2 linked regions of the Caenorhabditis elegans genome follow. The protein of the gene in region 1 purifies or fractionates together with the protein of each later gene. This does not show direct contact. Each region holds a gene or a part of one and is shown on either strand. Other genes may lie near its edges.

Region 1 (14,526 bases):
GTCGTCGCCGCCTTTTTCATCCAAAAAATCAATAAATCAATAAGCGAATCGACGTGGTTCTACGTGTCATGCGGTCTGCTTACTGTAATCCCATTGCTCTTCGGATATTTCGTCGCCAAGATTTTCTTCAAATTCGTCCAAATTTGCGGAAAAGGTGTGAAGAAAGCTCCGCGAGTTGAGCAAGTGATTACTGTAAGCTCAGTGGAAACTGGACCACCTGCCGCTCTCGGAAATGATACAAGGTAAGCCACGTCCCCTGTTAAGCTCCGCCCCTTTATTGGCCCCACTGAAAGGACCAAAATTTAGATTTTTAAAAAAGGAGTTTTTTGTTGGAAAACTTGAGATTTATCAGGTCGTCCCATAAGTTTTTGTACTTTTTTAAAACTTTTTGAACAAGTTCTAAACTGACAGAACAAAATCGAATCTTTTATAAATGCGCATGTATAGTATGTACTACTTGTCAAAATTTTGATGCGTTATTTCAATATCCTCCTGATAACAATCACGGAAACCAGAGCCACAAATAGCGACATACCCAAATAATGGGAGGTGTTTTCCTTCGTCCTGCTATTCACAGGGAATTTATCAATGAACATGAAAACATAGTATTAGTAAAGATAATGATTCAAAATACATGTTCAGTATGGTTAAAATTATCATTAGCACTTATTAGCCGTTTTGGACGTGGACTATTTGGCTCATGTTTATCAAGCACTGAGTGAACATCTTCATGGAATAATTTCTCACTAAAAGTGATGGGATTATTTTGATTGTTGTTTCTAATTTTATATAACAATACTTGCATAGTACAAATACAAACTTCGTTTTACTTGCTGATTTCTCAATCATAAATTAGAAGCCCAACACTATAAATGTCGGGTATCACATGAGGTTGGCCATGTAGATTGTTTGAACGAAGAGGCCACCAGTAAAGTTTGTTAATTTATTTATGATACATATATCCACTTCTAAATAACACTAGACTTAATTATCTATCTTTCATTCCGAGGACTAAATGGACCAATATATGCTTCAATCACTCCTATAGGCAATTGTTAAAAAGTACAAAATAGTGTGGTTACAAAGTTCTCAATTATAACATCTCCCCATGACTGAAAAAATTAAATTTTTTTTAAATTTTGACTGCACATGATGTGCACTTATCGTAAACATACACGATGCACCCGTTCCATTCCCAGCGGCTTCACAGGAATCAAAAACTCGGGCGCCATATTTAATTGGCCTCAACAATTGTGTTTAGCTACAGTAGTTTTTCCGGAATAGTTATACTAAATTTAAAATTATTTAAAACAAGAGTGTGGAAGCATCTACTTGACAGTATATATTAACCATTACTTTAAGCTCTGGGTGGTGTAGAACAAACTCCAGAAGGAATGGTGTAAAAAGCTGATTCTATAGTTACTCGTTTTTCTAAACAACCGCGGGGGCCTGGGATGCCAGAGTTATGTTGCAATAAGGTGACAAGTTGGTGACATGCTACCACTAATATAAAATCTTAGAATTGTCCGAAAAAGTTTTGGGAATAATTCGAAAAAAAGTACAAAAACTTATGGGACGACCTGATAAAAAAAATTTGTTCAACTTGAAATTAATTTTGACTGAAAATCAATAAACCACGCCCATTTTTAGGCTAGGCTCCTATCTTGGCTTCACTCCAAATTCCAAAAATTTTATTTAAAAACAAATGTTTTGCTGAGCAATGAATTTTTGCAAATTGATCAAAAATTAAAAATTTTTAATTAAAATTTTGAAAATAAGCCACGCCTTGGCCACCTCTTTGTGTTAATTTTTTCAGAACATTTTTTTCAAACATTTGGGTATTTTCTTTTGAAATATTATTCTGAGACTGAAAATAATTTATTCTAAAGTTTTGAAATAAGCCACACTTCAGTTTTAGGCTCCGCCACTTTCTTGAATAATTTCTAAAAAAAAATTTTCAGAACATTTTTTTCTCAAAAATTTTGGGATTTTTTATGAAATATTTTTCTGAAACTGAATATAAATTATTCTAAAATTTTCAAAGAAGCTACCGCTTTTGTTAAGCTCCGCCCCTCTCTTGGCTCCACTTAAAGTTACAAAAACTTGATTAAAAACTGTTGCTCTTGATAATTTTGAATTGTTGAAAATTGCTCAAAATTAACAAATAGACTAGCTTCTACAAAAATTTAAAAGAATCTTATCAAATAATTTGAAAAATTACTTTCAAATTTCACTCAAACTTGCAAATTTCTGATCTCGTCAATTAAAAAAAAAAAAAAATTTTTTTTAATTTTTCAGCTCCTCCAGAGCGCCAGAGTGCAAAATTTGTGTGCTCCCTTATTCGGATAAGGACAAAAAACGAACACCGAGAATATTAATTCGCTGTGGACACACAATATGCGAAGAATGTTGTGATAATTTGCTGAAAGTATCGGTTGATCATATTTTGTGCCCATTGTGCCGCCAGCATACTAGTGTAAAAGGTAGGTATGGGAAAAACGATAAATATAGATTTTTTGCGGTGTTTTTTTAAGGAAAAATAATGAAAAATAGTTAGTGAAAGAAAAATAGATTTTATTTTGGGAAAAAATAGTACATTGAAACTTTTCAAAGTTAAAAAAATCTAAAACTTTATTAACTTTTAACGGACTTTCAAGAAGAAAGTTTTGAAATGTTATAAAAAGTCAAAAAATCGATTTTTCCAGAATTTCACAATTTTCAGAAAAAAGCGACCGACTCCCGAAAAACTATGCAATTATGGAAATGGTGTACTACTGTGAGCTGAGTTAGTGGCGGATTTGAGGCCGAAAATTTCAATTCATGTGATTTTTTTTTTAAGTTTTTGCGAATAAAACTAATATTTAACAAAAAATTTATTTCACACTTGACGTTTTTCTTGAGTTTTTTAATTTTAAATGTTTGATAAAAACAAAAAATAATTAATTAAAATACGTGACTTCTTAAACACGTAAAGTACAATTCTATTCCACGTTTACAAGAAGTTCCAGTTCCTTCGCACTCCGTCAATTTGAAATTTTTTCAAACATGGGAGCCGTTAAATTCCTTTCTATCGTTCTACTCTTTGTGGATTTTACCTGCTATGCAATTGCTGGATCAAAGATTGCAGCAAACATGTCGCAAAACGAGCTTGACCAGGAGTTGAACGGGTTTTATTCTGCAACTGAATGAACATCGTCGACGAGTTGCGAAGAGGATGAACGTATTAGGTCTCCAAATAAGTTCCGGGTCAAAACTCATAACTTTGTTCGCTGCGTATCGATTTTCATGAAACTGTGGGAATTTATGTTATCAACCATGATCTTTCATTTGACAATAGTCACAAAATTTTTTGACCACCCCAAGTGCCCTAACTCGGAGCCAATTTTTTCAGACATTTTTCAGATCTCGCTTCTTTTCAGGTTTCAATTGAGGTTTGTGTGCGGATTTTGCTAAGTTTAGTACACAATGTAAGAAAACAAAAAAAGTTTGGAAAAAAATCCGTCCAAAAAATTTTTTTTCGTCGGTCGTCAAAAAATCTTCAAAAAATTTTGCCGAAAATTCTTGATTTTTTATACAAAAATGATGTAACCATGTGCAAACTATTTTTACACGTACACAACATTTAAGTTTAACATTTGGATCTCGATAAATACTCCAAAAACTCAAAAATATTTCAAAAAAGCTATGTTTTCTGTTATTATTTCAGTGTGACGCACTAAATTGAAATGTTTTGTATGTGTAAAAATAGTTTGCACTTGGTTACATCATTTTTGTATAAAAAATCAAGAATTTTCGGAAAAAAATTTTTCTGAAGATTTTTTGACGACCGACGAAAAAAAATTTTTTTGGACGTATTTTTTTCCAAACTTTTTTTGTTTTCTTACATTGTGTACTAAACTGAGCAAGATCCGCACACAAACCTCAATTGAAAAATGAAAAGAAGCGAGATCTGAAAAATGTCTGAAAAAATTGGCTCCGAGTTAGGGCACTTCGGACGGTCAAAAATTTTTGTGACTATTGTCAAATGAAAGATCATGGTTGATAACATAAATTCCCACAGTTTCATAAAAATCGATACGCAGCGAACAAAGTTATCAATTTTGACCCGGAACTTATTTGGAGACCTAATATCAAACATGAATGAAATGGCAAGTGAAAAAGGAATTTCAAATACTGATGTTACATTAATTGTAGGTATTCGTTCATGCTTCCTATTATAACGTTTTCAACTTTGAAAATCTAGTTTCTTTCGATAAACTACTGCCGGCTGAGAAGGATTTGGAAAAGTTTGTAGAGAAGATCACTGGGCCCTTCTTTCTTTGTGCTGGCTGGTTTTTAGTTGACATTATGTTCACTGATTCATTACAAAAAACAATTGGATGTCGATATAAGTGTGAGGAGAATGACGCAATTAATTGTAAAAATGATACCTTAAAGTGTTTTTTTAGTCCATAGTAAGTTTTTTAGCGCTTGATTTATGCATCTAACTCGATAAAACTTTAGTTACCCCGCTGCTGGTTGGCTCAGCAACATAACCACCGGACTTCCTGGATCAGCTTGTGACTCTGATCGTTACAACAACGATGGTCTCTGTTGACTGGGTGCCCCTACTACCACTACTCTCAAGCCTTCTCAAGATGTTCCGAAGTCAGTTGATCAAAAGGATCAGAAGAAGCTTCAGCCAGATTCCACTACGAAGCCCAGCTCAATTGACTCGCCGGTTCGCATTTTTTCGATATTCTCTTCCGGCTGTCTTATTCTACTTTTGAACTTTATTGATATGTATAGAATTGAATAAATTAGTCGGATCTGAATAGAAAATCCGAGAAATTGATTTGTATGTATGATGGTGGAAATTTCAGCGGTTTAGGTTTCAACTCTAAGTTTTAAACATTGCACAGTTCGGAAAGCTGGGACTTTGTTTTTTTAGACTCAAATTGGCTGCTGATTAAAATTGAAGTTCTGAAAATGTTCGGCAATTTCCGTTTTTCTGGCAAATTCGGCAATTTTCCAATTTGCCGTTTGCCAAAAAAATCATTTGTCGCTCACCCCTGGTGTAAACACCAAGTCTTTGACTTCTCGCCATAGTGCAGGAATGAGGCAAAAGGCAGGCAGGTTGGAGGCAGGCGTCAGGCCCATAAACCACGCCTGCCTCCCATAGAAGCCCAAATACCTATAAGATTCATTATGACAATGCTACAACATTCATAATCTGTGAGTCACAAGTCAATCGTGATGTATAATGGTTTTTGAGTCAAATGACGAAAGAAGTTTCGCCAGTTCAAATATATCACGTCTTATCTTTAACAAATTACGGACAAAGTTTACAAACGACCGGAGCAGGTGTGGTCGTGTGAACCAAGCGATCAAAAAATTGATTGTCACGGTTTTCTCGTCGACTAGGTTTCTCTCCGTAGCCTATTATTTCGGGGAAGATGATTTCTGGAGCTTTTGTTATAAAATGGACTCCGATTTTGAAATTAGATATATTTTTAGGTATACTTGGCTTTTTCCAATTATTCAACTTTCAGTATGCGTTGTGTAGCACTTGTTCTTCTTGTGGCCGTAGGCATCTCTCAGGCTGCCTTCCTCCTACCGTACACCCTTCCAAGTGATGTTATCCAAACAATTGCAACCAAGGAAACTCGAAAGAGCAATACGTGCCAAAATATTCAGCTGAACTATTGCCAGAACCAATTCAACACTTTCCTCGGAATCGACGACGCAATTACTTGGCGTGATGGATCATCATTTTTCGAAGCTGTGGAGTCGTATTTGGATATGAATGTGACTGAGCTCATGAAAGTTTGCAAGTGAGTTGGATTATTTGAAAATCTACAAAACAATGACCTACAAAAAATGCGGGATTTTTTTCCGAAAAAAAAGTGACGTCAGCACGTTCTTAACCATGCGAATACGTGTTTTCAGAGTGCCCCATTTCGGTTTGATCTACGAGAATCGCGGGAACTTGGACAGTTCTGAACTGATTCTGCATCAGAAAATTCCCGCATTTCTTGTAGATCAACCCGTGATTTGACAACCTGACACCACCTGTCATCTCCTATATATATATATATAGTTTAAGACTGAAAAGCATAGTAACTTTTAAGTATAGTTGGCTTTTGGAAATTTTTCCAGACTTTTCAGTAAATGTATCTCAAAAACTAGAGGCCTTAACAGTTATACCATCTCCTAAAGTTTTCCTAAGCTTCTAGAAAATTCCGAATGCTTCCAGATTTCTCTAGAAATTTCCAGAATTTTTCAGAATTTCCCAGAGACCAGCAAAACTTTTTAGAAGTTTCTATAAGTTTTCCGTAGTTTCGGCGCATTTCCGAGGATCCTAGATTTTTCCAAAATTAAAAAAAATTTTTTTAAATATTTCCAGAAATTTTTCGATAGATTTAGAGCTTTTTAGAAGTTTTCGCAAAAATTTTGAAGCCAAAATTTTTCCCAAAAAATTCGAATTTCCAGGCAAACTTATTTCTCAGAAAATTTGAACTTCCCGCCGAATTTTTATGAAAAAAAATTCGAATTTCCCGCCAATCATTTTCTCAGAAATTTGAATCCCCCGTTTTTTCCAGCGTCCGCACTCAATTCTACCAGTGCCTGGGAAGCAGCTACTACTCGTGTATCAATCTTGAATATCTCGCCGGACAATCAAATTCTGACTTGGGAAATGGTAAATTTTGGCAAATTGGTTTGTGCCTACCTACACCTACCTGAAAATTTTCCAGCCTTCGACTACGTCAAAACCTTCCGCGGACTCGAGTGGATGTGCAGCGGCGGTTATCGTGGTTTGTATTAAAATTTTTTGGATTTTTTTCTTAAATCTTCGAGAAAATTCCAGAAGTAATCAATCACTGGAGCTGTCTTAAGGATTTCCCATCCTCCGATTCCTATAAAGCCTGCACTCAAACCTTCAATTCAGCAGTTTCTACCTCCAACTACTGCCCGTAAGCTAAAAAAATTGATTTCAAATTTTTGAATTCAAAAAACTTCCAGAGCCGTCGAACAAGCCGGAGCCTGCTTGAGTAATGCTTATCACGCTACTTGCGGAGCCAACGTATGTTACTTCTAGTGGAGACTACAAATACTACAAACTACAAAATTTCAGGCTGGACACTACGGATGCAAGAATTTCAATTCGGCTTTTGACACCTCGTGCTCCGGACTGAAGTGCCTTTTGGACAAGGATTAAATTTTTTGAATTAAGATCTTCTGGAATAAATTTTTTGAGCATTTTTTTTCGAGAACCAAAAAAAGGGGGTGACCTTAGGCTCCGCACACTAAAGGAACTTGCTTCAGGGCAATTGAAACTTGAAAAAAAAACATTTTGAATGAAAAAAAACGTTATAGCAGGAAGAGACGCAGACAACGAGAGTGTGTCTGCGTTTCCTTCTGCGCCAAGACAGTGTGTACTGGAGGGAGACGCAGGCAACGAGAGCGCGCGCGCTGTCTGCGTCTCCCCGCACCTCCCGCACTCTCGGTAGCCTAAACTTCAAAGACACATAACTCCGCGCTGGTTAGAGCTATCGAAAAATTTTCAACTGCAAAAATATTCAACGTGAAATTTTGCGTAGGATGAGTTAAAAATTTCAAAACTTCAAACAAATTCAGCGCCTAAATTTTGAAATTAAAAAACATCAAACAAAATCCTCAAAACTGAATACAATAGACACGCATCATTATGGTAATCATTTTTTCAATTGAAAGTTCAATGACATCTCTTGCTGTTCTAGAGATACACGTTGTTCTAGCAAACGGGGAGAGACGCAGACAACGAGAGTGCGCCCGCTGTCTGCGTCTCCCCTCACCTTCCGCTCTCTCGGTAGCCTACACTTTAAACGCTCATAACTTTTTTCACGGTTGAGCTATCAAAAAATATCCAACTGCAAAATTGTTCAACGTAAAATTTTACATAGGTTAAAATAAAGTTGGAACCATTTTAAACAAACATAACCTTAAAACTTTTAGAATAATGTCCTCGCTTTCTGCGTCTCCACGAGCTCTCTAAACTTCAAACTCTCATAGCTCCTCACTGAGCAAAGCTATCAAAATGTTGCCAAAAAAAAGTTCAAAATTTTATACGAATTGCTCAATTTCCGCCTAATAAGCACAATTTCTCGGTTGATGAAAGTTTTCAATTTCTCACTTCCATTAATCCCGTCTTTGAACTCAAGTATAAAAGGATCACCGGAGCCCCCCGTGGGTTACCCCTGGCAACCCACTTTTGTTTCTCTCATTCCTCCACGGCATCTTAAACCTTTTTCCTAATCAAAGGCTATCCGGTTACCCTAAAAGTACGAAAATGTCGGCCGACTCGTGCATAACTGTCACACTTATCATTGCACTTCATTTCTGCGGGATTATCACAACTTTTCTCCCAATTTCTTCGATTTTCCACGACAATTTTGAATATTTGAATGAAATCTGGTTTTTGGTGTACTTTTACGGATTCTGTGTGTACTCTAATATTCTGTATTGGCTTTATTTCGAGTTTGTGGAGAGAGCAGGTGGGGTTTACGAATATTTTTAAAAAATCTAACGGCCATGACATGTAAAATTTTCCGCTGATCAAATTTGCAGTTGGAAATTTTTTGATACCTCTCACCGTTTAGGAGATAAAGACGTTCAAAGTTAGGGCGCTGAGAGACTGTGAGTGGAGGGGAGACGCAGCGTGCGCGCGCTGTCTGCGTCTCCCCTCCCTCCACACTCTCTCACCTTGCTCAACTTCAAACGCCTGTATCTCCTGAACGGTGAGAGATATCAAAAAACTATCAACTGCAAAAATAATCAGCAAAAAATTTTACACAACATTCTTTAGATCACAGCTCCCGTCGAATTCTGGTATGGACATTCTCGACAGCTAACGGTATGCTAACATTTGCACGATTTGCTCCACAAGTTTACTTTTTATTTGGATATGGTGCATCGGTATTTTTAATTTTTTTAAAGGAGTTTTGGGGTTCAAGCGGCAAAATTTCCAGATTTTCTACATCTTATTTGTCGCCCTGAACTGTGTATCCTCAATTCTACAATTCGGCTGCTTCCACGTATACATCACAAGTTACAAGTACCACAAATACCGTGCTTTTTTTCGTGGCTGGTTTGTTCCAATACTTAACTGTTTGAATTTCGTCCTGGCGCTAATATTTCTGATCAATTTGAATTTTAACGTAATCTCTTTTTATATGGTCAATTCTCTTATTTTCTACTTGGCTATTACTTTTTCCCTACTATTTTTCAAGAAAATATTTTACGCCTGGAAAAGGTTTAAACAAGGATCCCTTGCGTCGGAGTTCTTCAATAAGTATATGAATTTCAAGCTGCCCAATATTTTCCTAGATGGAGTACCTACTGAGTAAGTTTTTTGTGAAAAAATACATGGCTTTGGATAGAGAAAAATATGCTGATCATTTTTGCAGTTGAAAGTTTTTTAATACCTCTTACCGTTTAGGAGATACAAACGTTTAAAGTTGCGAGCGGTGAGAGAGTGTGGAGGGAGGGGAGACGCAGGGTGCGCGCTCTGCCCGCACTCTCCCCCTCCCCCACACACTCTCACATCCTAACTTCAAACCGCTATATCTCCGCGCTAGGTAGAGATATCAAAAGGCTTCCAACTAACAAAATGCTTCAAATTTTAAGTTCTACATTTTTCCAGAACTTGCGGAGCCTACTGTCGCATCTGTCTTAAGAAGTACTCAGAAAACGACACCAAAAGTGTGCCTCGCTTCTTGTTTGCATGCGGCCACACGTATTGCGATGAATGCTGTAACACAATTTTGAAGAAGAAATCGGAATATTCTACAAAGTATTTTTGTGTTTTTTGTGGCCAGCGAACGTTTGGAAGTATTAGGAAGAATTTTGCGGTGCTGGAGGCGATGGATGATAGGAAACATTAATTTTTAGTTTGTTTTTGAGATTAATAAACTGTAATGGAAAATAAAATGGCATTTGACTGATAAGGAATGGCTTATAGACTTTAGAAAATAAAATTGAGGAACAATACTGATAGCTTATCAGTTTGTGGTTCGTGCACAAAATGTTTCAGATGAAGCTTATCAGTACAAAACAATTAGTTCAAAGAATTCTCGGGAGGGAGAGTCCAAACACAGGAATAAACTTGTGGCGATTTGAAAAATGAAAAACGGTTTGGGGTACCCACTGAGTAAATTTCATTTTTATTGCAATGGATAGAGAAAAATATGCTGATCATTTTTGCAGTTGAAAGTTTTTTGATACCTCTCTCCGTTCAGGAGATACAGACGTTTGAAGTTAAGACGTTGAGAGAGTGTGGGGGAAGGGGAGAGTGCGGGCAGAGCGCGCACCCTGCGTCTCCCCTCTCCCCACACACTCTCCTCACCTTAACTTTAAACGTGTGTATCTCTTGAACGGTGAGAGGTATTGAAAAATTTTCAACTGCAAAACTAATCAGCATATTTTTTTCTATCAATTGGCGTGTTTTTAAAAAAAATCAAATAAAAAGTAAGCCACCCTCAATGGCTAGGAAAATATTGGCCAATTTAAAATCCATATACGCTTCTTTATTTTTGCAGAACCTGTGAGGTGTCGGCCGCTACAAATTTTTGCAGAATTTTTTAGTTTTCCTATGAAAAAAGTTCAGAAACTACAAAAAACTATATTATAATATAAATTTCCATGCTCCGCAGAGCGATTTTTTCTCGTTGCCTAGTGAAGTGGCAGCTCATCATCATTTCATTTTTGAATTCGTTTCCAATTTCATTTGTCATTATTCGCTTTTTGGGCTTCTTCCCTCTAAAAACATGCGAAATATCCTATTTTTGACAATAATTGGATTTTCCCAAGCGAATTTTTTGGTGAGAAGCCTTACAAAACTCAAAAAAAGCTCAAATTTTCAGCCAGATTCCATCTATTCCTTCCAACTTTCATGTTTGGACACCACTAGTTCTTCGACCACTGAAGTTCCTGCAACTACTACACCAGTGAGTTTGGAATTTGTTTCGTCAGCTCATACGACGCAAAATGTTCTGCTGATTATTTTTGCAGTTGAAAATTTTCTGATATCTCTAACCGTTAGGAAGATACAAGTGTTTATAGTTTAGGCGTCAAAAGAGTGTGGGGTGAGGGGAGAGTGCGAGAGTGCGCGCGCTGTCTGCGTCTCCTCTCCCCCTCCACTCTCTCACCACTCTTATCTTGAAACCTCTGTAACTTTGCACTGGTTAGAGCAATCGAAAAGTTTTCAACAGACAAAATGTGTAAAATTTTAAGATCTACATTTTTTTTAGTTGAAAATGTTTTCCTAACTCTGAAATTCTTGGAATTTTTCCAGACAAAAACAGTGTTCAACTTTAATTTAACCTGCCCCACCACATCCACTGTCATGCCTACAACTACTGTGAGTTGGAAATTTTTTCATTCCGGACACAGAAACAGATTTTCAGATCGAAACCTCCAAATCCGAGCAGTGCGGAGCAAATAGGAAGACAACTAGCATGAGTTTCCAAAAATCTTTTGTTAGTTTCGGGCGTAGAATTTTATACTGATCAGTTTTGTAGTTGGAAGTTTTTTGATACCTCTGCTGGGAACCGAGATACAGAGGTTTAAAGTTGGAGAGGAGAGAGGGGGAGACGCAGACGACGAGAGTGCGCGCGCTGTCTGCGTCTCCCCCTCGCATCCACTCTCGTCACTTCCAACTTTAACTCTATGTATCTTCGTTCCCATGAAAAAAAAAATTTCCAACTAACAAAATACTCCAAATTTCAAAATCTACAATTTCAGGTCACCGGCGCCTGCCTCACCTACCCCTTTATCGGACAATCCCTTACCTACCGTAACCAGGAGGATCTAGCAGCTCAAGATTACTCGAAGATTATGACTTTTAAGGCAATTACGTATATAACCAGAGAGCAGTATTCAACTCAAATAGAGGATTTCTTGAAGTTGAGCCCGAGTTTGAATGTTTTCGTGGTGCAGTTTGATGGGACCTCGGTAAGAAAATAGCTGATAACTTTTTTGTGAGGAGAGATATCAGAAATTTGTAAACTAAAGAAATATAGCCCTTAAAATTTTCTACATTTTGTTAATTGAAAACTTTTTAATAGCTATTTTTTCCAAGGAGTTATGCGCTTTTAAACTAGACGCGCTCAGAAGGAGTAGCTCAAATTCTTATCATTAAAGGCGCATAACTCCGCGGAAATAATAGCTATCAAAAAGTTGTCAAATATAAAAATGTGTAAAATTTTAAGCACTACAAATTGTTAGTTGAACATTTTTGAAAATCAAGATTTTCCGCGGAGTTATGCTTATTCCAGAGAGCCGTCCTCCTAGACGCTGCCCTACAAAACTCGTGCTCCACCGACACATCTGACTGCCTGGATTTCAAGTATGAAGATGTGAACTCAATTTTCTTCACTATTTGCTGGGATTCCAAAAACTATTCGAATGGGCTTTATATTGAAACTTTGTTCGATCAAATATTATTGTAAAAAATCGCAAAAATCCATAATTGTGTTAATTATCAAATGTAAAATTCCATGCTCAACTTTTTTACAATTTAAAGTTTTTTGATATCTCCAACCGTTAATGAGATACGGGCGTTTGAACTTGGCGAAGAGAGAGAGAAAGAGAAGGGGGAGAGACGCAGACGACGAGAGCGCGCGCGCCGCCTGCGTCTCCCCTCCCCACACTCTCTCGTCACCGCTAACTTAAAACGCATGTATCGGGAGATAACTAGGTTCGAAGTCTGAATTTTGAGATTTTTGAGTTTTGTTTTAGGAAATTAGAATTTTATTGTAACAGGAAAGGATGTATTAACTGATTTTTCTGTGAGAAAAAAGTATAAAAAAGTTTGGAAAAAATTTTTAAAAATGTCCAAAAAAATTTTTTTTAGATAACTTATACCGTGAAATTTTTTCAAATTTCCACTATTTCCAATTACTCTTTTCAAAAATACCCTCTTAATCAATTTTTTCGCTCCTTCACGCCTTCAAGCCCCTATGACGTCACCAATCCCCAGTGAAAGGGGCCCATGCCTACCCCTGCTAAAAACTACAATATACCCCTAAAACCATCCCGTGAGTAATCAAAAATCGCGTCTAGCGCAAGCTTCCGGCTGAAAAATGCAAAAATCCCAAAAAAAACCGCCCAAAATCGTGCAAAATCTCAGAAAACTGGGCGGAAGAGGACACAAATTCGCCTCTTTGGAAGAGGAAATTACGTCGTATTGTATCGAATGACACCTCTCCCGCGCAACACGATATATATAGGGGACCTTTAAATGGAATAAGACCTATTTGCTAAATTTGGAAATTTGTTGGAAAAAAAAATTTTCTAAACAAAAAAATTTTTGTTTCGGAAATTTTTTTTCCAAAAGATTTTTCCGAAATTTTCTACTATTTTTCATCTAAAATGAACGGATTAAACCACTTATGTAAGTTATTGTTGGATTCAGGACCCACGTGGCCTAGAAACCCCATATTCGGGCTCAGTGGCCTAGAAAATCCAGAAAAGTTAGGCCACGCATGGTTTTTAGCAGAAAACCGTTTTTTTTTTCAATTATGTTTCGTAGAAAACATGCATAATTTCATGGATTCCCCAAATTTTTCTTAATTTTTCAGACATGGCTGAGAAAAAAAACCGGAAAAGTTAGGCCATGGGAAATTTTTCACAAAAAGTGAAATTTTTCCGTGAAGAATCTATTTTTTTCAGTTTTAGTATGAAAAATTTGAAAAATTTCGTTGCTTTTCAATAAAAAACTAATTTTCAGACGTGGCCTAGAAAAATAACCGGAAAAGTTAGGCCACGCAGCATTTTTCTAGAAAATTGCAAATTTTTCGAGAAACGCGTTATGTCTTCACTTTTAATTTTGAAAAACGTGCTTAATTTGCTTTTTAATCAAATTTTTTCAAATTTTAAGACGTGGCCAAGAAAAACCAGCTGAAAAAATAGGCCACGAAATTTTTCTTCGAAAAGCTCCATTTTTCCGCGATTTCGCCGCTGGAAATTAACTTTCGGCCAACGTTTCTGTGAAAATTATTTTTTAAAACTCTAAATATCTGCCAAAAAACCACTGTGGCCTAAACAATTCCATTGATTTTTCCAGTATTCTTCTTACTTATCGTCACGTTTGCCGGATTTTCATTTTCCCGCCCCGACCACCATTCGAGGAACTGCAAAGTAAGTGCGCTCTAGCGAACAACGAAGCTGCAAACGCGCTCCATTGAGAATTTTGCTTAAATGGTGGAAATCTCGGGGGTTTCTGGAGATATATCGATTTTTATTCGATATTTCGCTGAAAAAAATTGAAAAATTTGAGAAAAATCATTCAAAACCCTAGTTTTTCGCCGATTTTTTCCGCATTTTTTCAAGAATTCGGAATATTTTTTGATTTCCAGGCTTACCGACGACCGGCTCTAAACGAAGTGCTCACGAGAATATGCCTACTTTGCCATGAAATGTTTTCAGTCGACCAGCCGAATCTAGCCGCCGAGTGCAGCTCGAATTGCTTCAGGAATCCGGCGTTTAACAAGTGTCTCAACTTTTTTA
Region 2 (18,072 bases), on another chromosome or scaffold:
AAGCACAATTTTGAAGAAAATCTCTGAAAACAGAAAAACCACTCGAAATACGGAAAAGTTGTTAACTACAAAATTGTTAAGCATAAAATTTTACACATTTCACTATTTGGAAATTTTTCAATAGCTCTTCTCCTTCCAGAAATACAAGCGTTTGAATTTTGGGAAGCGAGACATTGTGGAGGTGGAGAGACGCGGGGCGCCACCCTGCGTCTCTCCCCCTCCCACACTGCCTCACCCATCAAACTTCAAACGAGCATAACTTTTTAACGAATAGAGATATCAAAAAACGTTCAATTGCAAAAATGTTCAGAATTAGATTTTGCATCGAATAAGCTTAAATTTCAGGCAATAACCGACGTGGCAATGTTTCTATTTGTAGAACTTATAGCTCGCCCGAGAAAATACAAAATTCATAATCTCCTGGAGCCAATGAAAAATCACTGGCTCCCCCAATTCATATACTTCTTGCAAACAACTATTAAAAACACAATTTTCCTTGGGTATACGGTAGTGGCTGTCAATCGATTTACCATAATCTTCATGCAAAAATACCATAATCATATATGGACCCCTATGGTTATTACAGTAATCTATGTTTTGGAGTGGGCGGTGCCAGCAGTCGGATTTTCGAATTTATTTTATAATACTGGAAATCACAATTTCTCGTTGTTAGCCGCAAGTAGTGGTGGGCTGTCGCTGAGGGCAGATTCAGGTAAACTATAAAAAAAACAAAAAAATTTTGACCGCAGTGGGGGTCGAACCCCGGACCTCTGCGGCATAGTCAAACCTGTACCCGGCTGAGCCACTTGCTCACAAATTTTTTTTTTCTGAAAAAGGCTGTTAGAGTCAAATTTTGAGTTGGATTCCAATTTTTGGTTCAAAAATGCCAAAAAGAAAAGTAACAAATTGTTTCATTTTGGGAATTTCGAAAAAATTGATTTTTCGCTTTTTTTAAAATGAAGCCATAAAATTTTCAGATTCCTTGTAAAATTTTGAAAGAAATAATAATAAATAACACGAATCAAGCAAAACAAAAACATTTGACCAGCGCGGGGATCGAACTCCGGACCTCTGCGCCATAGCAGAACCCCTACCCCACTGAGCCACTTGCTCACTAAATTTTTTTCTGAAAAAAGTGGCCAAGGTTCACATTTTCAGTAGAATTCCAAAATTTCAGTTTAAAATTACCAAAAAAACAAATTTCGATTAGAAAAAAGATAAAATTTGATTATTTCGGAAAAACCCGCAATTTTTCGTGCATTTTTATTTTCGTGCAATTTTTATTTTTTTTGTCTTACAATAAACACAAAACAAAAATTTTAAACCCCAGCTGGAATCGAACCCCGGACCTCTGCGCCATAGCCAAACCGGTACCCGACTGAGCCACTTGCTCACTAAATTTTTTTTCTGAAAAAAGTGGCCAAGGGTCAAATCTTGAGTAGAATCCAATTTTTTCATTAAAAATCCGCAATTATATCCTGAAAATATAAAAAACCTAGTGGTTTAAATGTATTTTTCAGATTTCATGAAGCTCGATGCTCTGCAGGATTTATCGATTTCTACTTTTTGCTTTCTTGTCAGTTTTACTTTATACTTTACCAGTATACTCTACATTCTAAAAACCAAAACTTTATCACATGGCAAATTGCTCAAAAACTCAACGGAATTTATAATTTTCAAATGCGCGGTTTTTTCGTTTGTACTATTCATCCCAAATGCTTTGAAAAGTATATTTTTATATTTTTATATTGGTGAGCAGATATTTGATTGGATAACTGATTTATGGTATTTTACTACTGAAATTATGTGCATTGGATCCTGCTGGTCATTGTTGCTGAGTAGCCGAAAGCTCCGAGAGGAGTTTGTACCGAAAATGTGAGTGTTTGGAGTGCTCAGAGACTTGAAATGATATTAAAACTAGATTTGGGTTGAAATTTAGCCCTGGGACATTTTTTGAAAGAACAAATTGGGATACAGGTGGCTCAGTAGGGAAGAGGTTTATCTATGGAGCAGAAGGTCAGGGGTTCGACCCCCGAGGTGGCCAAAAACTTTTTAACTCAATTTTCTAGTACTTAAAAATATAAGATGGGTAAAATTCTACCCGATATTGAAAATGTTGAAGCGTTCCCCTAAAAATAGTTGAAAAGTCGAGAATTTCTTGAAGTATAGTCATTTTTGTTTAAAAATACAAGAAAAACTGAGTTCTACATCAAATTTGACACTTGAGACGTTTTTTTCAAAAAAAAAAAAGTGGGAGAGTGGCTCAGTCGGGTAGAGCTTTGGCCATGACGCAGAGGACCGGGGTTCGACCCCCGAGAAGGTCAAAATTTTTTGTTACCTTTTTTTCAGCTAACCAATGCTATATATTGTGCAAAAACGAATTAGAAATTTTTTTTGAAATTTTTATTCCAAAAAATCGTATTTTTCAGAAATTTCTCGTTTTCCGGGAGCTCAATTGGTACTGTATCAGGAAGAATATTATAAATTTGAACACTTTATTCATTTTATTCATTTTCTTATGAATTTCTCAACTAACAACTATAAATATGTCTCAATAAATCCGCATTTCCAACCAAAAATTGCCCACGAGCCGCTGAGCCGCACCAGAAGCCGATGACGTCACTAATTTCTGATTTCGCGAAATTTCCGGTGCCACAAACGATTTTTCTGAAAATTTTAAAGAATTCGACCGGAAATCTTTGAGTTTTCAGTTTCAGATAGCAATTTGTCAGGGGCGAAGTCTGAAATTCCAGCAATTCACAGGATTTTGCAATATTTTCCTGTTGGTAGGGTTTTGGAAATGTGCATTTCTGGAAAAAAAATTTCAGGTTTTTCAGAAAATTTCGGAAAATCCTACCTTTAAAACTTTGCAGAGCTCCAATTGCTCGGCGATTTGCTCGTGGCTAAGTGAATGGGAAATATTAGAAAAATAATCAGAAAATGTTTGAGCATTTTGTGAGCTCGCGGAGCTCCGACTCGAACACCAGATGTTAGAAAATATTGGGAAATCAAGGAAAAATCGAGTTTAAAAACGATTTTTGTGTAAAAATTTGAGTTCTACTCGGAATTCTAACCGTAGACCCACTTTTTTTCGAAAAATTTTTGGGACTAAGTGGCTCAACTGGGTAGAGGTTTGGCATCGGAGCAGTAGGTCAGGGGTTCGAGTCCCGCTAATGTTAAAATTTTTTTATCTTGTTTTGATGTTATGGAGTTCGTACTTTGCTGCTTAAAAATTTAATAAATCTGAAAACTGCCACGTTTTCTATCCAAAAACCGAAATATCTTGAAAAATTGTTTTTAAAGACTCAAAAAAAATTAGGGTTTCCAGAGATTTTGAAAGTTTTAAATTAAAAAATTCGAATTTTACTCTAAATATTAGTCGGGCGAAATTTTTTTTGAAAAAAATTTTGACGGGATGGCTCAGTCCCCGCGCGGGCGCAATTTTTTTATTTCTCGTTTTTTGGTAGGCAAAGTACTAAATTTCTAATTTTTCTACCCTCAATTCACAGAAAATCGATATTTTTCGATTTTTAAAAACAAAAAAAAAACAAATTTTCGGAACATCAAAAATTCATGAAAACAGTTCGGAAAAAAAAAACAAATGCAGGAAAAAAGATCATTAAATGATTATTGGAGGCGGGAAACTCAAATTCTTCGAAACAAAAAAAACAATGATGCAGATATATAATAAGTAGGCAGGTAGGTAGGCAGACAAAGAAGTTAGCAAAGAAAAAATAATTAAATTTAGGATCTCAAAATGTCGAGTGTATCGTTGATTGCGCTGAGCCACGAATTCAAGTGATCCGACGATTCGGCGGCCAGGATTACACTGAAAATTTGAAGATTTTGGAAAAAAAGGTAATCTTCTCCAAATTTCGCGTCGATTTTTGATTAAAGCAATGCGAAAATTGTATTTCTACTCAAAATTTGACCACCAGAGCTATTTTTTCGACAAAAAAATTTGTGTGCAAGTGGCTCAACTGGGTAGAGGTTGGGCTATGGCGCAGAGGGTCCCGGGTTCGACCCCCGCGGTGGCCAAAATTTTTTATAAACATTTTTCCAGAACTTGAAAGTTGTGAGGTGGGTAAACGTTTACCAGAAATTGGGAATTTTGAATATCGAATTTTTTTTTCGAATTTTTTCAAATTAATCCACAAATGTTTCGAATTCTAGTTATTTTTTTGTAAAAGCATATGAAAAACTTTTTTCAAATTTTTTTTTGCAAAAGTGGCTCAACTGGTTAGAGGATTAGCTTTGGAGCAGAGGGTCCCGGGTTCGACCCCAGCGGTGGTCATAATTTTTTGTTAGTGATTTTTCTAGAACTTGAAAGTTGTGAGGTGGATGAAAATTTACCAGAAACTAGGAATTTCGAAGCGTTTCTCTAAAAATTGTCGATTTTTTTCAAATAATCCACAAATGTTTCGAATTCTGGTAATTTTTATGTAAAAGCATATGAAAACTGAATTCTACACCGAATATGGCCACTCGAGCTATTTTTTTTTCAAAAAAAAATTTGGTGTACAAGTGGCGCAACTGGGTAGAGGTTTAGCTTTGGAGCAGAGGGTCTCGGGTTCGACCCCCGCGGTGGTCATAATTTTTTGTTAGTGATTTTTCTAGAACTTGAAAGTTGTGAGGTGGGTGAAAATCTAACAAAAATCGATTTTTTTCGAAATTTTACAAATTAAGCCAACACAAACGTTTCAAATTCTGATGAATTTTCGTGTGAAACCATATGAAAAACTGAATTCTACGCAAAATTTGACGCATTGGTTTTTTTTTTCAAAATTTTTTTTTGTTGCACAAGTGGTGCAACTGGGTAGAGGCTTGGCTATGGCGCAGAGGGTCTCGGGTTCGACCCCACGCGGTGGTCAAAATTTTTTTTCATATATTTTTTCAGTGCTCTACCGTCGTTTTTCAATCAAATCAGGGTCCTGATCGATGAGCAACTCGATATGAAATTCGTGCTCGGCTCCTTGGCTCATTTCACGGCTCTCCTCAATCGAATTATTCGTGCATTTTGTCAAATCAATCTGGAAAATTGGGACTTTTTCGTGAACTTCCTCTTGTGGAGTGCTCCAGAACAAAATGGCTCCGCGATGAAGAAGTGACCAGTATTTGTGCCAAATTGGGACTTTTTTTGCTCTGAAAATTGGAATTTTTAGGTGGTTTTTCGGCGGGAAATTCAAAAATTCAAATTTTCAGTCACTTTTCGGCGGGAAATTCAAAAATTCAAATTTTCAGTCAATGTTTGGCGGGAAATTCCAAAAATTCAAATTTTCAGTCAATTTTTGGCGGGAAATTCAAAAATTCAAATTTTCAGTCAAATTTTGGCGGGAAATTCAAAAATTCAAATTTTTAGTCAATTTTTGGCGGGAAATTCCAAAAATTCAAATTTTCAGTCAATTTTTGGCGGGAAATTCAAAAATTCAAATTTTTAGTCAATTTTTGGCGGGAAATTCCAAAAATTCAAATTTTCAGTCAATTTTTGGCGGGAAATTCAAAAATGTAAATTTTCAGTCATTTTTCGGCGGGAAATTCAAATTTCTAGTCAATTTTTGGCGGGGAATTCAAATTTTCAGTCAATTTCCAAGTACCTCTCCAAAGGACTTGCAGAATCGTGTAAAATATGAAGAAATCCTCGATATTCCATATCAATTGCATCAGGAAGTGATGTGCAGTGTGAATTGAGCTTCACAGTTCCCTCCAGCGGATAAATGACGTCATCCAAATAGAAGCGGCGGTTATCGCCCGACGAATCGCGGTCCAACGTTAAATTTCCGCAAAGTTGGAAGTCACACGCAGGTGACGTGGCATTTTGTATCGATTTTTGTGGCGTGGAGGTAGTCGGGCGGCGGTGAGCGGCTGGAATTTGAAATTTTTGAAAAAAAATTTTTTTTTTTTTTTTGGAATTTCATCCTTATTTCCTAAAACAAATAAAATTTCCAAATTACCATTGCTCGGCACCAGCAAATTCCGCACTTTTTGTGCCAAAAACGCGGCGCACGTCTTCTCAGGTGGTCGGTGCTCGGGAACTCGCTGAAAATTCCAGATTTTTGAGGTATTTGTATCTATTCGTGTGGTAAGACACCTAAAAATTCAGAATCAGTAAAAAATTTGAGGCCGGGGGGCCTTTTTTTTTGAAAAAAATTTTTTTTTGTGTACCAGTGGCTCAGTGGGGTAGAGGTTAGACTCTGGCCCAGAGGTCCGGGGTTCGATCCCCGCTGCGGTCAAAAATTTTTTTTGCTACTCTCCAGTGGTGGGTTAATTAGTTTTAAATCATTTTACGATGTTTTTCTTGGTAAAAACCGATTGAAACTGACTTTATTGGCTAAAATTTTCAAAAACTGATTTTTTACGATGTTTTTTGAGCGGTTTTAATCAAAAATTAGAACTCTACGCAGATTTTCAGCTTTGGTACTTCTTTTCGAAAAAAAAAAAATTTTTTGTACAAGTGGCTCAACTGGGTAGAGGTATGGCTACGGCCCAGAAGTCCGGGGTTCGACCCCCACTACAGTCAAAAATTTTTATTTTCTGTTGTCAAGCATTACCATCATATAAATCTCCATTCCAATGGTAAAATCGACGGGAAGATTGGAAAAACGCAAGTGTTCACCGAAAAGAATGAAATTTTGCGGAGTTTGGAATTGAGCCAAAAGGGTAACGACACCGGTTGCCTCGACTTCTGTACGGCATTTGAGGAGCACAAGGAAAGCGTAAGAGCCGCCTGAAAACACAGAAATTTTGAATTTCCCGCCAAAAATTGACTGGAAATTTGAATTTTGGAATTTCCCGCCAAAAATTGACTGAAAATTTGAATTTTTGAATTTCCCGCCAAAAATTGACTGGAAATTTGAATTTTGGAATTTCCCGCCAAAAATTGACTGAAAATTTGAATTTTTGAATTTCCCACCAAAAATTGACTGGAAATTTGAATTTCCCGCTGAAAACCGATCAATGTTCGGTAGAGCATACTTGCAGCAAGTGCGCTCCACCGAAAATCAATTTTTTTTTTCGGCGGGAATTCAATGTTTTGGAGTTTTGTGTCAAAAAACCACAAATTTTTTCAAATTTTTAACTAAAAACGCAGAATGCGCGCTAATTTAATTCTGAATTTCGAAGTGCGCTCTACCGAACATGTGATCAATTTTTGGCGGGAAATTCAAAAATTCAAATTTTCAGTCAATTTTTGGCGGGAAATTCAAAAATTCAAATTTTCAGTCAATTTTTGGCGGGAAATTCAAAAATTCAAATTTTCAGTCAAATTTTGGCGGGAAATTCAAATTTTTAGTCAATTTTGGCCCAAAAATCTCGAATTTAGACTCAAAAACCACGTACGACTATGGAAATGCTTATTAAACTGAAGCGAAATATTCGAAATGACCATAGTCGATTTAAAATGTCGATTAATCGGTGGTGGTGGATGCCTGACAACAGTCATTGCCTGAAGCCTCCGAACTTCTTCCAATTGAACTTTCAACCGTTCTCTACAAATTAGCAAAACCCGTTGCGACGCGAGTTCTTGCATTGGACATTTCGATTTTTGGGCTTCAAGTAGTGAGTGCTCGGCGAGCAAAATGTGATGTCGAGTTTCATCGATTGAATTGAGTAGGCGGTTCATTTGACGGCGCGAATCCGTCGCGTGATGATCTACTGCCGACCAGTTACTGATTGAGCTCACGAAGGAATCCTGCGCAAAAAATTGATGTAAAAAAATCGATTTTTTACGAAATTTTACAAAATTTTAGTTCAAAAAATTGATTTTTAAAGAAATTTTTTTGAAAAAACGTTTTTTGAATCGAAATTTTTCAAAATTATCGATTTTTAAATGAAATTTTTCTCGAAAAAAACGATTTTTTTTTAGAAATTTCTTCGTTAAAAAACAAAAAACAATTCACTGATTTTTTCGAAAAATTCCATTTTTTTACGGAATTCTACAATAAAAAATCGATTTTTTTAAACGAAATATAATAAAACTTTTTTTTTTCGAAGAAAATTTTCAAAGAAAAATCGATTTTTTTACAATTTGGAGAGAAAACCCTTTTTTTTTGAAATTTTGAATTGGTTTTTTTCGAAAAAATGGATTTTTTACGAAATTTTCGAAAAAAAAAATCGATTTTTCAATAGATTTTTTTCCAAATTTTTGAGAAAAATTCGATTTTTCACAAAAACCACTAAAAATCTTTTTTCCAAACGGGGATTTTCTCAATTTTTTCACTGAAAAACCCGCCAAAAATCTCAGATATAATCCACCTGAAAAGCCGGTGGTGGTTCCGAGTGTTTCGGCGGCCGACACATTGCGGGTTTCGGTGTCGAAGTGGCAAGTGCAATCGGTGCCTGAAGCTTCTTCACAACAATTTTGAGTGGACCCCCCGCGGAGCCCGACGAGCATCGATATTCAACGATGGGCTCTCCAGCGGCATACGGTGTGAAAAGCGTGGGCGAACTCGTGAATTTCGGCGTTTTTGGGCACTCAGGGAGCTGGAGAAGATTTTCCTGATTTTCTGGAACTCCAGAATCTTGAAATGTTCGGTTTAGGGTGCTCTCCTCGTCGTACTGCTGGGATTCCAGATTTTCAGAATTTTCAGCATTTTCCAGCACCTCATCCAGCACCAGAAGCTCTTGGAAACTGCAAAAAATATCGATTTTTTACCGATTTTTGACGAAAATATGCTCGTCGCCATTTTGTGGGCTCCAGAATATCGATTTTTAGGGAACATTTGACTGAAAATTACAAAATTTGAGCGAAAATAGCTCATAACCGTTTTGTGGGCGTGGCCTGTTAGGCTCCGCCTTTTTTTTTTTGAAATTTTGAAGTGTCAATTTGTGTTTTTTCCTGCAAATTTTTTTTTTTTTTTTAGTATTTAGATAACAAGCTCCACCCATTTGGTGGGCGTGGCCTGTTAGGCTCCGCCCTCTTTTTTTTTGAAATTTTGAAATTTCAATTTGTTTTTTTTGCTGTAATTTTTGTTTTTTTTTAGTATTTAGAAAATAAGCTCCGTCCATTTGGTGGGCGTGGCCTGTTAGGCTCCGCCCTCTTTTCAGGCAAGAATATCGAATATTAGAAAATTTTTGACTGAAAATCCGAATTGATTTTTTTTAATTGATTTTTTCGCAATTTTTGCCGAAAAATCGCTAATAACCATTTTGTGGGCGTGGCCTGCGCGGCTCCGCCCCTTCTTAGGCGAGAAAGTCGAATTTTCGGTAGTTTTTTACTTAAAATTCGATATTTTAACAAAAAAAAGTTGGGCAATTCAAAAAATTGTCTCAAAAACCTCAAAAATTTCTGCAAATTTTCGATTTTTATAGGAAAAAATTAAAAATTTGAATTTCGCGGCTTTTTTTTGGACATTTTAGATTTTTTTTTAAAGGAAAAATGTCAAAAATGGCTACAAAATTTGAATTTTTTTCGAATTTATAGCATTTTTGCCGCAAATTTTCGTACTTTGCCACGTCATCATCGGAATTTTCGAAATTTTCAGATTTTTTGGAAATTCCAACGTCATCAGCCACGTAGAGCTCCTCTTTATCCATTTTTTGGGCCAAATTTCGCAATTTCAACGGTGTGGCTCCATATGGATAGGCTCCGCCCACATTTGGAGCATTTTGAGCATTATTCGAATTAAAAACGACAGCCTGGGTGCCACGACGACCATGAAAATGACGTTTTTCGTACGGTGAGATGTATTTTTCCGATTTTTTGGCGAGAATTTCCGGAATTTTGGAGGATTTTGAAGTTGGCGGTGGAGCAATGTGTTCTGGAAGAAAAATGGGTTATTTTTGGCGGGAAATTTCGAATTTTGAAGATCATTTTTGAGAAAAATGTGAAAAGTTGGAAAAACTTGAATTTTTTTTTCGAAAAAAAATTTTTTTTGCAAAAAAATTATCGTTTTTTGGAATTTTTTTAAAATTCGCTCAAAATTCGTAAAATTCCCAATAAAAAGTGAATATTTCGAAAAAAAATTTTTTTTTAATTTTTGAAAAAAAAAAAAATTTTTTGAAATTTTTTTTAATTCTTAAAAAATTTAATTTTTTTCACAATATTCCTTAAAATTAGCTTAAAATCACAAAATTCTAAATTTTAGCGATTTTTCCACCGAAAATTACAGAATTTTAACACAAAATCCGACAATTTTGGTGGTTTTGCTGGAAATTTAGAATTTTCCAGAGGTTTTTCCGTTTTTTCAGGATTTTTTAGAGAAAATTTTCGAAATTCACCAGAAACTCAATGGTAAATTGCCAATTAAAATGAAAATTTTGAAAAAAAAAATTTTTTTGAATTTTTGGAAAAAAAAATTTCTAAAAATTAGTTTTTTGCAAATTATAACTATTTTCTCTGAAAAAGTCCAATTTTGCAAATTTCCACTCAAAATTCAATTTAAACCATAATTTTCATCCGAAAACTTGCGAAAAATCCCATTTTTTCTGGATTTTTCCCAAAACTTTTGGGATTTTCCGATTGTTTTTTCTAAAAAATCAATTTTCCATGTAAAAACTGTATAGTTGGTGTGTTGACAGTGCAAATAAATTAACAATACATGTGAATTTATAAATTTGCATTTGAATAGGAGAAATACCGGGGGAAATGGTTTTTTTTTCTCATTTTCCTCAATTTTTCTCAATTTTCCCCATTTTTTTCCAGTTTTTTCGCATTCCCCTATCGATTTTCTCAATTATCGATTGATTTCCGCACCATTTTCAAGACTTTCAACCCTTTGCGTGGGCGGAGGTGGGGGCTTCTGCTCCAGCATGCCGGAGCACTGATCGAACGCGGCGACGAGATCACGAATTCGGCCGCGTGGCACCGGTTTGCGCCACGTAGCATCTGACGGTGGTGTATCGACGATCGGGTGCGGCATCCAGCGGTAGAACTGGAAAAAATTCGGATTTTTTGTGAATTGTATCGATTTTTCCGGATTTTTGCCCTACCTGACTTGATCCGATTGGCACCGGAGTTGGCGGCATCGATTTTCCGTCGAAATTCTCCATTTTTCGTCAAAAATCTCCGAAAAAACGGCGAAAAACCGTCTAGAAATCGCAAAAATCGATTTTAAAAATTCAAAATTCCATCGAATCCCTCACATCACTGAATTCGTGGCGAGACCTATTTGAAGTTTTGAGCTATGCGCCTTTAAGAAAAACCGTAGTTTTTTCGCGAATTATCGCATTTATGCGGAATTACGGCGAAAAAGCGAGAATAATCGAAGAAAATGCGATAAGAATTGATAAAAAATGATAAGATTGTGTGCATTATTCAGGTGACAGATTGATTTTTGCCCAAATGTTGCGTTTTTTGCGACGAGAAATAATTCATATATTTATTTAGTTATTTTAAGTTTAATTTTTTCACTTTAATAACATTACGCTCTTCAGAAAAAAGACAACATGACTGTGGACAAGGTTAAGCTGGTCATTGGTGAGTTAAACGGAGAATAAAAACAAATTTAAACCAATTTTTGAGTAAAAAATTCTATAAAATTCGTTAAAACTCGAGTTTTTTCTTTTCTTTTTTAAAATTTCTACTTTTCTACGTTCAAATACACCGAAAACGTATTAATTCCGAAGATTTTCGTTAAAACACTGGAAAATTCGAGCTTCCCGCCAGAAAACTGAGTTTGTCATTGGAGCGTGATTGCATTGCTTGGCGATTTAAAAAAACGAGTCTAGACGCTTCAATAATCGATTTTTTCGGATTTTCAGATGATAAACGAGAATTCTAATTTAAAAAAAAACAAGAAGTCTTCAAATTTTCCACTTATTTTCGTCAAAAAACACTTGAAAATTTGAAATTAGCGTCGGAAAACGGACTAGTTCACTGGAGCGCGCTTGCTTAGCGAGTTTTATCGATTTTTAAAGTTTTACATAAAGTTTACCAAATTTTAAGCTTTAAAAACAAAAATTAATCGATTTTCAGACTCTGACGGTGTAAGCGACGACGTGCGAGCCATCTCCCTAGCCTTGCAGCACCCAAAAGCCGAAATTCTCGCATTCACCGCAGTCCACGGCTGTGTGACAGTAGATCAAGCCTGTGCGAACATCAAAAGAACCATCCGAGCCAACGATCGGAGCAATATCCCAGTGTACAAGGGTGCGGCTAAATCGATTTTGTCGCTGCCGAAGGATGATACCGTATCCGATTTTTTCGGGATCGATGGGATCGGTGATAAGCCGGAGGAGTTCCCGAAAGTCGAAAGATCCGATTTTGAGGGGGAGGGGAAGCATGCGTCACTTGCTTTAATCGATATTTTGAGAGAGAATCGGGATGCCACTTTGGTGTAAGTTGAGGCTACAGTAACCCTTCTGTACCCCCACCGCATCCCTACAGTACCCCTACAGTACCCCCACAGCGACCTACAGTACCCTTGCACTATCCCTACAGTACCCCACAGTACCCCTGCACTATCCCTACAGTACCCCACAGTACCCCTGCACTATCCCTGGTACCCCGGACAGTTCCCCTCTAGTATTCACGCAGTAGTGTTACTGTATCCCCACAGTTCCCCACTGTGCCCTTGCAGTAACACTACAGTATCCCTACAGCAACTCTACAGTAACCCTATAGTACCCCGACAGTACCCCAACAGATCCCCTACATAACCCTACAGTACCTCTGGTAACCGAACAGGTACTCACACAATAGTGTTACAGTACCCCTACTGTTCCCCCCACAGTACACACACAGTAACCCTACAGTAACCCTACACTAATTCCACTAAAGCCCTATGGTACCATAACTGTATACCTACAGTATTTCTACAGTACCCCTACAGTATCCCTGGTACCTGGACAGTTTCCCTACCCTACCCCAATAGACCCCCTACAGAAACCCTACAGTACCGCTTCAGTACCCCTACAGTACTCCTACAGTACCCCTACATTACCCCTATAGTACCTCAACATTACCCTTTTAAAGTCCTACGGTACTCCTACAGTATCCATACAGTCCTCCTACATTTTCGCCTACGCCGAGCTATTCTGGGTGTCAAATTTCGATTTTAATCTATTTTTGCTCAATTTTCCCTAAATTTTCAACAAAACCATTTTTCAGAACCATCGGTCCCCTCACAAACGTGGCGATTGCTCTCCAACTCTGCGAGGAGTTTTCGACGTACCCATCCCGGCTGGTAATCATGGGAGGAAATTATTACGCGGTCGGAAATGTTGATGGAGGTAGGTTCTTCAAAAAAAAAACTAGGGTGGACCACTTTGGCGGGCCATATCTCGTTTCATTTTTGAGATATTAGAAAAGTTTCAACTATAAACCTGTTCAGAAACATGTAACAAACATTTCATCAGTTAACAATTTGTTGACAAACCCAAAACCGACGGAGATACAGACCCGTCAAACCCCAAAAAGCCCCCCTAATTTTTCCAGGTTCCTCAGCCGAGTACAACTTCCACGGAGACCCGGAAGCCGCGAGCATTGTGCTCCGACGTATGAAGTGTCCCATCACCATTGTTCCATGGGAGGCATTCTATTTTGAATCAAAGACCCATGATGCTTCAGTTGATTTTTCGGCTCATTTGAAGTATGGAACCCCATTGGCTAATTACTTATCGCTGGCCACCAGCATTGGTAAGGTTTTTTAAAGTTATAACTCGAAAACTAGGGTAGATACTAGATACCAAAAAAAAACTGTCAATTGGAAAGTTGTTCAGCGTAAAATTCTGCATTGATTTGACCCCCATGTCGATAATTTTCAAATTTTCGAATTTGACACTTAAAATTGCTCGCGGAGCTCCTAGCCTTTCCCAATGCTTCAAACGTATTGAAATTTCGTTTTTCGGATAACCCGCAAAATCCTACACCCAGAAAACTCAACTTCCAGCCTTAGCCAGCAGTTTTGTAAAGGGGTCGAAGTGGCTCAACTGGGTACATGTACGGCTTTGGTGAAATAGGTCCGGGCTTCTCGAGGCCCCGCTAGTGTGTCAATAATTTTTTTAGAGTTCGAAGGTCTGTAGATTAGTCAACAAGTACATTTTTTTTTTAGAGTTCCTAAATTCGATTTGTATGTTCCAGGCCGCGTAAAATGCGAGGCCAACGGCCGCCAATACTCCTACTGCGACGAGATCGCTGTGGCTACTGCAATCGATGAGGATAAAATTGCAAAAAAGTCTCAGTACCTGTATGTCGATGTAGAGCTGAATGGAACAAAGACACGTGGGCAGGTTGTGGTTGATTGGACCGAGCAACTGTGGTCGAATGAGGAAGCTCCGAATCAGGTGAAAACAAAAAATCTGGGGTTCTGTATAGTTTTTGAGGCATAACTCGGAAACTAGAAGAGTTATCAAAAAGTTGCCAACTGAAATGTTGTTCAGCGTGAAATTCTGCATCGATTTGACCCCCATATAAAAAATTTTCAAATTTTCAAGGTCGATACCCAAAATTGCTCACGGAGCTTTTAGCTGCTCATGGTGTTCCAAACTTATTTAAAACATGATTTTTGGGTTCCCCGTAGTATTCTACATCAGGTACGGTTGAATTCCAGCCTTAGCCAGCAATTTTGAAAATGGGGCGAAGTGGCTCAGGTGGGTAGATTGATGAGGCTATTGTGAAATAGGTCAGGGGTTCGAATCCCTTTGGGTTTATTAGTATTTTTAATGTTATATACAATAGATATACAACACTCAGACAGTCCAAAATCTAGATATTATCAATTTTTTGTTTAATAAACCAATTTTCAGCACACCCATCGCCGTGTCAAATTCGTCACCTCTTACGACGTTCATACTGTGGACAAGTGGCTTCATGCAGCCACTTCTGGAAGTGGAAAATTCGATTAACTCTTTAAAACTGTAAAATGTCACATTTATTGCTCTTATTTATGGTGTGTGTGTGTGTGTGTTGAAATTTGCAATAAAAAGTTATTTTTTAATGAAAATTATGACTTTTTCGAAGCATAACTCGAAAACTAGAGTAGATATCAAAAAAGTGTCAACTGAAATGTTGTTCAGCGTAAAATTCTGCACCGAATTGACCCCCATTTAGAATATTTTGTAATTTTCGAATTTGACACCTAAAACTGCTCGCGGAGCTCCTACCTGCTCCCGGTGAACCAAACTGGCTGAAAATCTGATATTCAAAATAACCGTGAAATTCTACACCAGGGACACCTAAATTCCAGCTTTAGCCAGCATTTTTGAAAAATGGTGAAAGTGGCTCAACTGGGTAGATGGACGGCTATGGTGAAAAAAGCCAGGGGTTCGAGTCCCCGCTAGTGTCAATAATTTTTCCAGGGTAATGCAACATGCAGGCAGATGTTTTAATGGAGAACATCAGAAATTTCAGCTGAATTTCGCAAATTTCAGGTTTTTCAAATAGTTTTCCGACTAAATCGCAAATAACTGAAAAACTAGAAGAGTTATCAAAAAGTTGCCAACTGAAATGTTGTTCAGCGTAAAATTCTGCATCGATTTGACCCCCATATCAAAAATTTTGAAATTTTCGAATTTCACTTCTAAAATTGCTCACGGAGCTCCTAGCTGCTCCCGGTGCTCCAAACCAGCCGGAAATGTAGTTTCCTAGTTTCTAGTAAAATTCTACATATATAAAAAACTCAAATTCCAGCCTTAGTCAGCATTTCTGAAAAAGGATGGAAGTGGCTCAACTGGGTACATGGACGGCTATGGTGAAATAGGTCCTAGGTTCGAGTCCCCGCTAGTGTCAATAATTTTTACAGAGTTAGTTGGCCCTCAAAATAGTCGAAAATCTAGCAATATACTATGTTTTTCGCGAAAAAATCAATTTATTGTTCTTCTACTTAACAGAAAACGGCTAAAAATCACACAATTTCAACAAAAAATGGGTAATAGGTAATAAAATATGAGTTGAAAGAGAAAAAAAGGGAGAGCACCGGTTTCATTTTGTGTGAGAAGTGAAACTTTTCGTGAAATTTCCAAAAAATTGAGCATTTTTCGGGAATTTTCGGGGGTAAAAATTGGGGGATAAATATGAATTAAAGCTTTGAAAATATTAATTTTTGGGTGTCAATTTGTGTCAATTTCACTCGTGTTTGTCCTGTTCCGCAGCGTCGGCGACCATTTTTGCGAAGGCGCTGTTCTTGTCGGCCATTAGGGCGTCCGGTGTGTCGAATTCCAGAATTGAACCCTTATCGAGCACCATTATTCTGGAAATTTGGGATTTTTCGGGGTTTTATGAAAGGTAAAATGTGGGGGTTTGCGTTGGAATATTCATCGGGAATACCAACAAAAAAAAATTTTTTTTTCAAAAAATTCCAGTTTTTTGGGTAAAAAATCCCAATATCAGCGGAATTTTTTGAAGATTTTAAAATATTTTCCAAAAAAAATTTCGATTTTAATTCATTTTCTGAAAATTTTATTGACTTTCAGACAAAAATTTCCATTTTTAGCCACTTTATTAAATCAATAAATCGTAAAAATTCGATTTCAATAGAAAAAATCGATAAATCAAAGAAATTAAATTCAATTTATCAGAATTTCAGACATTTTCAGACAAAATTTTGGTAGAAAATTGCGATTTTTACGGACTTCTTCAGGCAGTTTGGGGTAAAATCGAAAAAAATCAGTATTTTTTTTTCAATTTTTGATTTTTTTTAAAGAAGTAAAATTATCGATTTTTTGGGAAATCGATAAATCGCAAAAAAATTTTTAGATTTATCGATTTTTCATAAAAATTGAAAAAATTATTTGTTTCAATTTCGATGCTAATTTTTAAAAAGTCAATAAATTTAACAATCTTCGATTTTTAAAAAATCGATAAAATTCGATTTTGCTAGAAAAATCGATAAATCAAAATTAAAGTCAATTTCTTTGAATTTCAAGCATCTTAAGGCGAATTTTTATGTCGAAAATTACGATTTCCACGGTTTTCAGTCAGTTTTTGGTTAATTTTTCGAGTTTTTGGAAAAAATCTATAAATCTAATTTTTTTCCATTTTTTCATAAAAAATCGAAAATCGGAAAAAAAAAAATTTTTTTTCGATTTTTTTTTCGAAAAATCGATAAATCTAATTTTTTCAATTTTTAATATTGAAAAACGATTTTTTTTTTCGATTCTAATAAAAATCGAAAAATTCCCGATTTTTATAAAAATCGATAAATCGATAAAAATTAGATTTATCGACTTTTCAAAAAATTGAAAAAAATTGTTTTTTTTTTTCAGTTTTCGAAAAAATTAAAATATAAGATTTTTATAAAATTCGAAAAATCACAAAAAAAATTAGATTTATGGATTTTCAAATAAATTGAATTATTTTAGGATTTTAAAAATCGATAATTGTAAAGGTTATCGATTTTCAAAAAAAATCGATAAATGGAACAATTTTCGATATTTGAAAAATCGATAAATTAATTTTTTAAAAACTCGATTTTAATAGGAAAAAAAATCGATTTATGGTAAAGTTATCGATTCGATTTATGGTAAAGTTATCGATTTTTGACAAAAATCGATTTCAAGCATTTTCAGACCAAATTTCGGTCGAAAATTACTATTTTACGGTCAATTTTCCAGATTTTTCAGTCAAAAATTCTCAAATTTTCAGTCTTATTCAGTAGTACCTATCATAATCCATGATAGTATTCAATCGATGCGCAATCGTGAATACTGTACACTCTTTGAACTCCTCTCGGATAGTCTCCTGAATCAGAGCATCCGTAGCCACATCGACAGCCGCCGTCGCTTCATCCAACACTAAAACCCGAGTATGCCGGAGTAGAGCCCGAGCCAGCGCGACCAATTGCCGCTGTCCAACACTCAGATTCTCGCCGGCTTCACTGATTTTATAGAGAAGACCGTCTGGAAGACCGGCAGCGAAATGTTTCAAATGAGCAAGTTCCAGAGCTCTCCAGATTTGATCATCGGAATAAGTGAAGAATGGATCTAAATTGAAACGAAGAGTTCCTGAGAATAATACAGGATCCTGTGGAATAATTGTAATGTTAGAACGAAGATCGTGAAGCCCGATTTGAGAAACTTCAACGTCATCGATCACAATTCGACCGCCGGCAGCTTCAATCATTCGGAAAAGGGCCAATGCGAACGAGGATTTACCTGGAAAATTGGGATTTTAGGGGGCATTCAGTGAGAAAATTTGAA

What was found.
Region 2: the proteins of nspg-7.2 (region 1) and ani-3 fractionate together in Caenorhabditis elegans (co-fractionation; one large-scale study listed by BioGRID). This does not show direct contact.

Annotation. Positions count from the first base shown.
Region 1 is NC_003281.10:3,249,402-3,263,927, reverse strand, and holds nspg-7.2 (DUF19 domain-containing protein), read left to right. Parts: upstream 1-5,521; 5' UTR 5,522-5,532; coding exon 5,533-5,813; intron 5,814-6,581; coding exon 6,582-6,679; intron 6,680-6,734; coding exon 6,735-6,794; intron 6,795-6,847; coding exon 6,848-6,953; intron 6,954-7,002; coding exon 7,003-7,063; intron 7,064-7,114; coding exon 7,115-7,198; 3' UTR 7,199-7,239; downstream 7,240-14,526. Other genes in the region: Y53G8AM.7 (RING-type domain-containing protein), read left to right, coding at 1-242, 2,299-2,483, 2,723-2,790; Y53G8AM.6 (uncharacterized protein), read left to right, coding at 4,137-4,148, 4,195-4,454, 4,504-4,597; Y53G8AM.4 (RING-type domain-containing protein), read left to right, coding at 8,309-8,513, 8,825-8,934, 8,988-9,361, 9,662-9,902; Y53G8AL.3 (CUB domain-containing protein), read left to right, coding at 10,785-10,838, 10,881-10,964, 11,312-11,377, 11,424-11,495, 11,761-11,970, 12,294-12,467; Y53G8AL.4 (Apple domain-containing protein), read left to right, coding at 13,390-13,411, 14,084-14,157, 14,376-14,526.
Region 2 is NC_003283.11:19,690,697-19,708,768, reverse strand, and holds ani-3 (Anillin-like protein 3), read right to left. Parts: upstream 11,038-18,072; 5' UTR 10,987-11,037; coding exon 10,927-10,986; intron 10,869-10,926; coding exon 10,691-10,868; intron 9,756-10,690; coding exon 9,443-9,755; intron 8,627-9,442; coding exon 8,251-8,626; intron 7,688-8,250; coding exon 7,336-7,687; intron 6,725-7,335; coding exon 6,549-6,724; intron 6,037-6,548; coding exon 5,952-6,036; intron 5,863-5,951; coding exon 5,595-5,862; intron 5,143-5,594; coding exon 4,906-5,142; intron 3,830-4,905; coding exon 3,745-3,829; 3' UTR 3,557-3,744; downstream 1-3,556. Other genes in the region: srv-3 (Serpentine receptor class gamma), read left to right, coding at 346-712, 1,521-1,875, 2,430-2,484; Y43F8C.13 (Nucleoside hydrolase), read left to right, coding at 11,383-11,413, 11,912-12,272, 13,046-13,167, 13,373-13,573, 14,018-14,220, 14,683-14,781; Multidrug resistance protein mrp-7, read right to left, coding at 16,001-16,124, 17,535-18,027.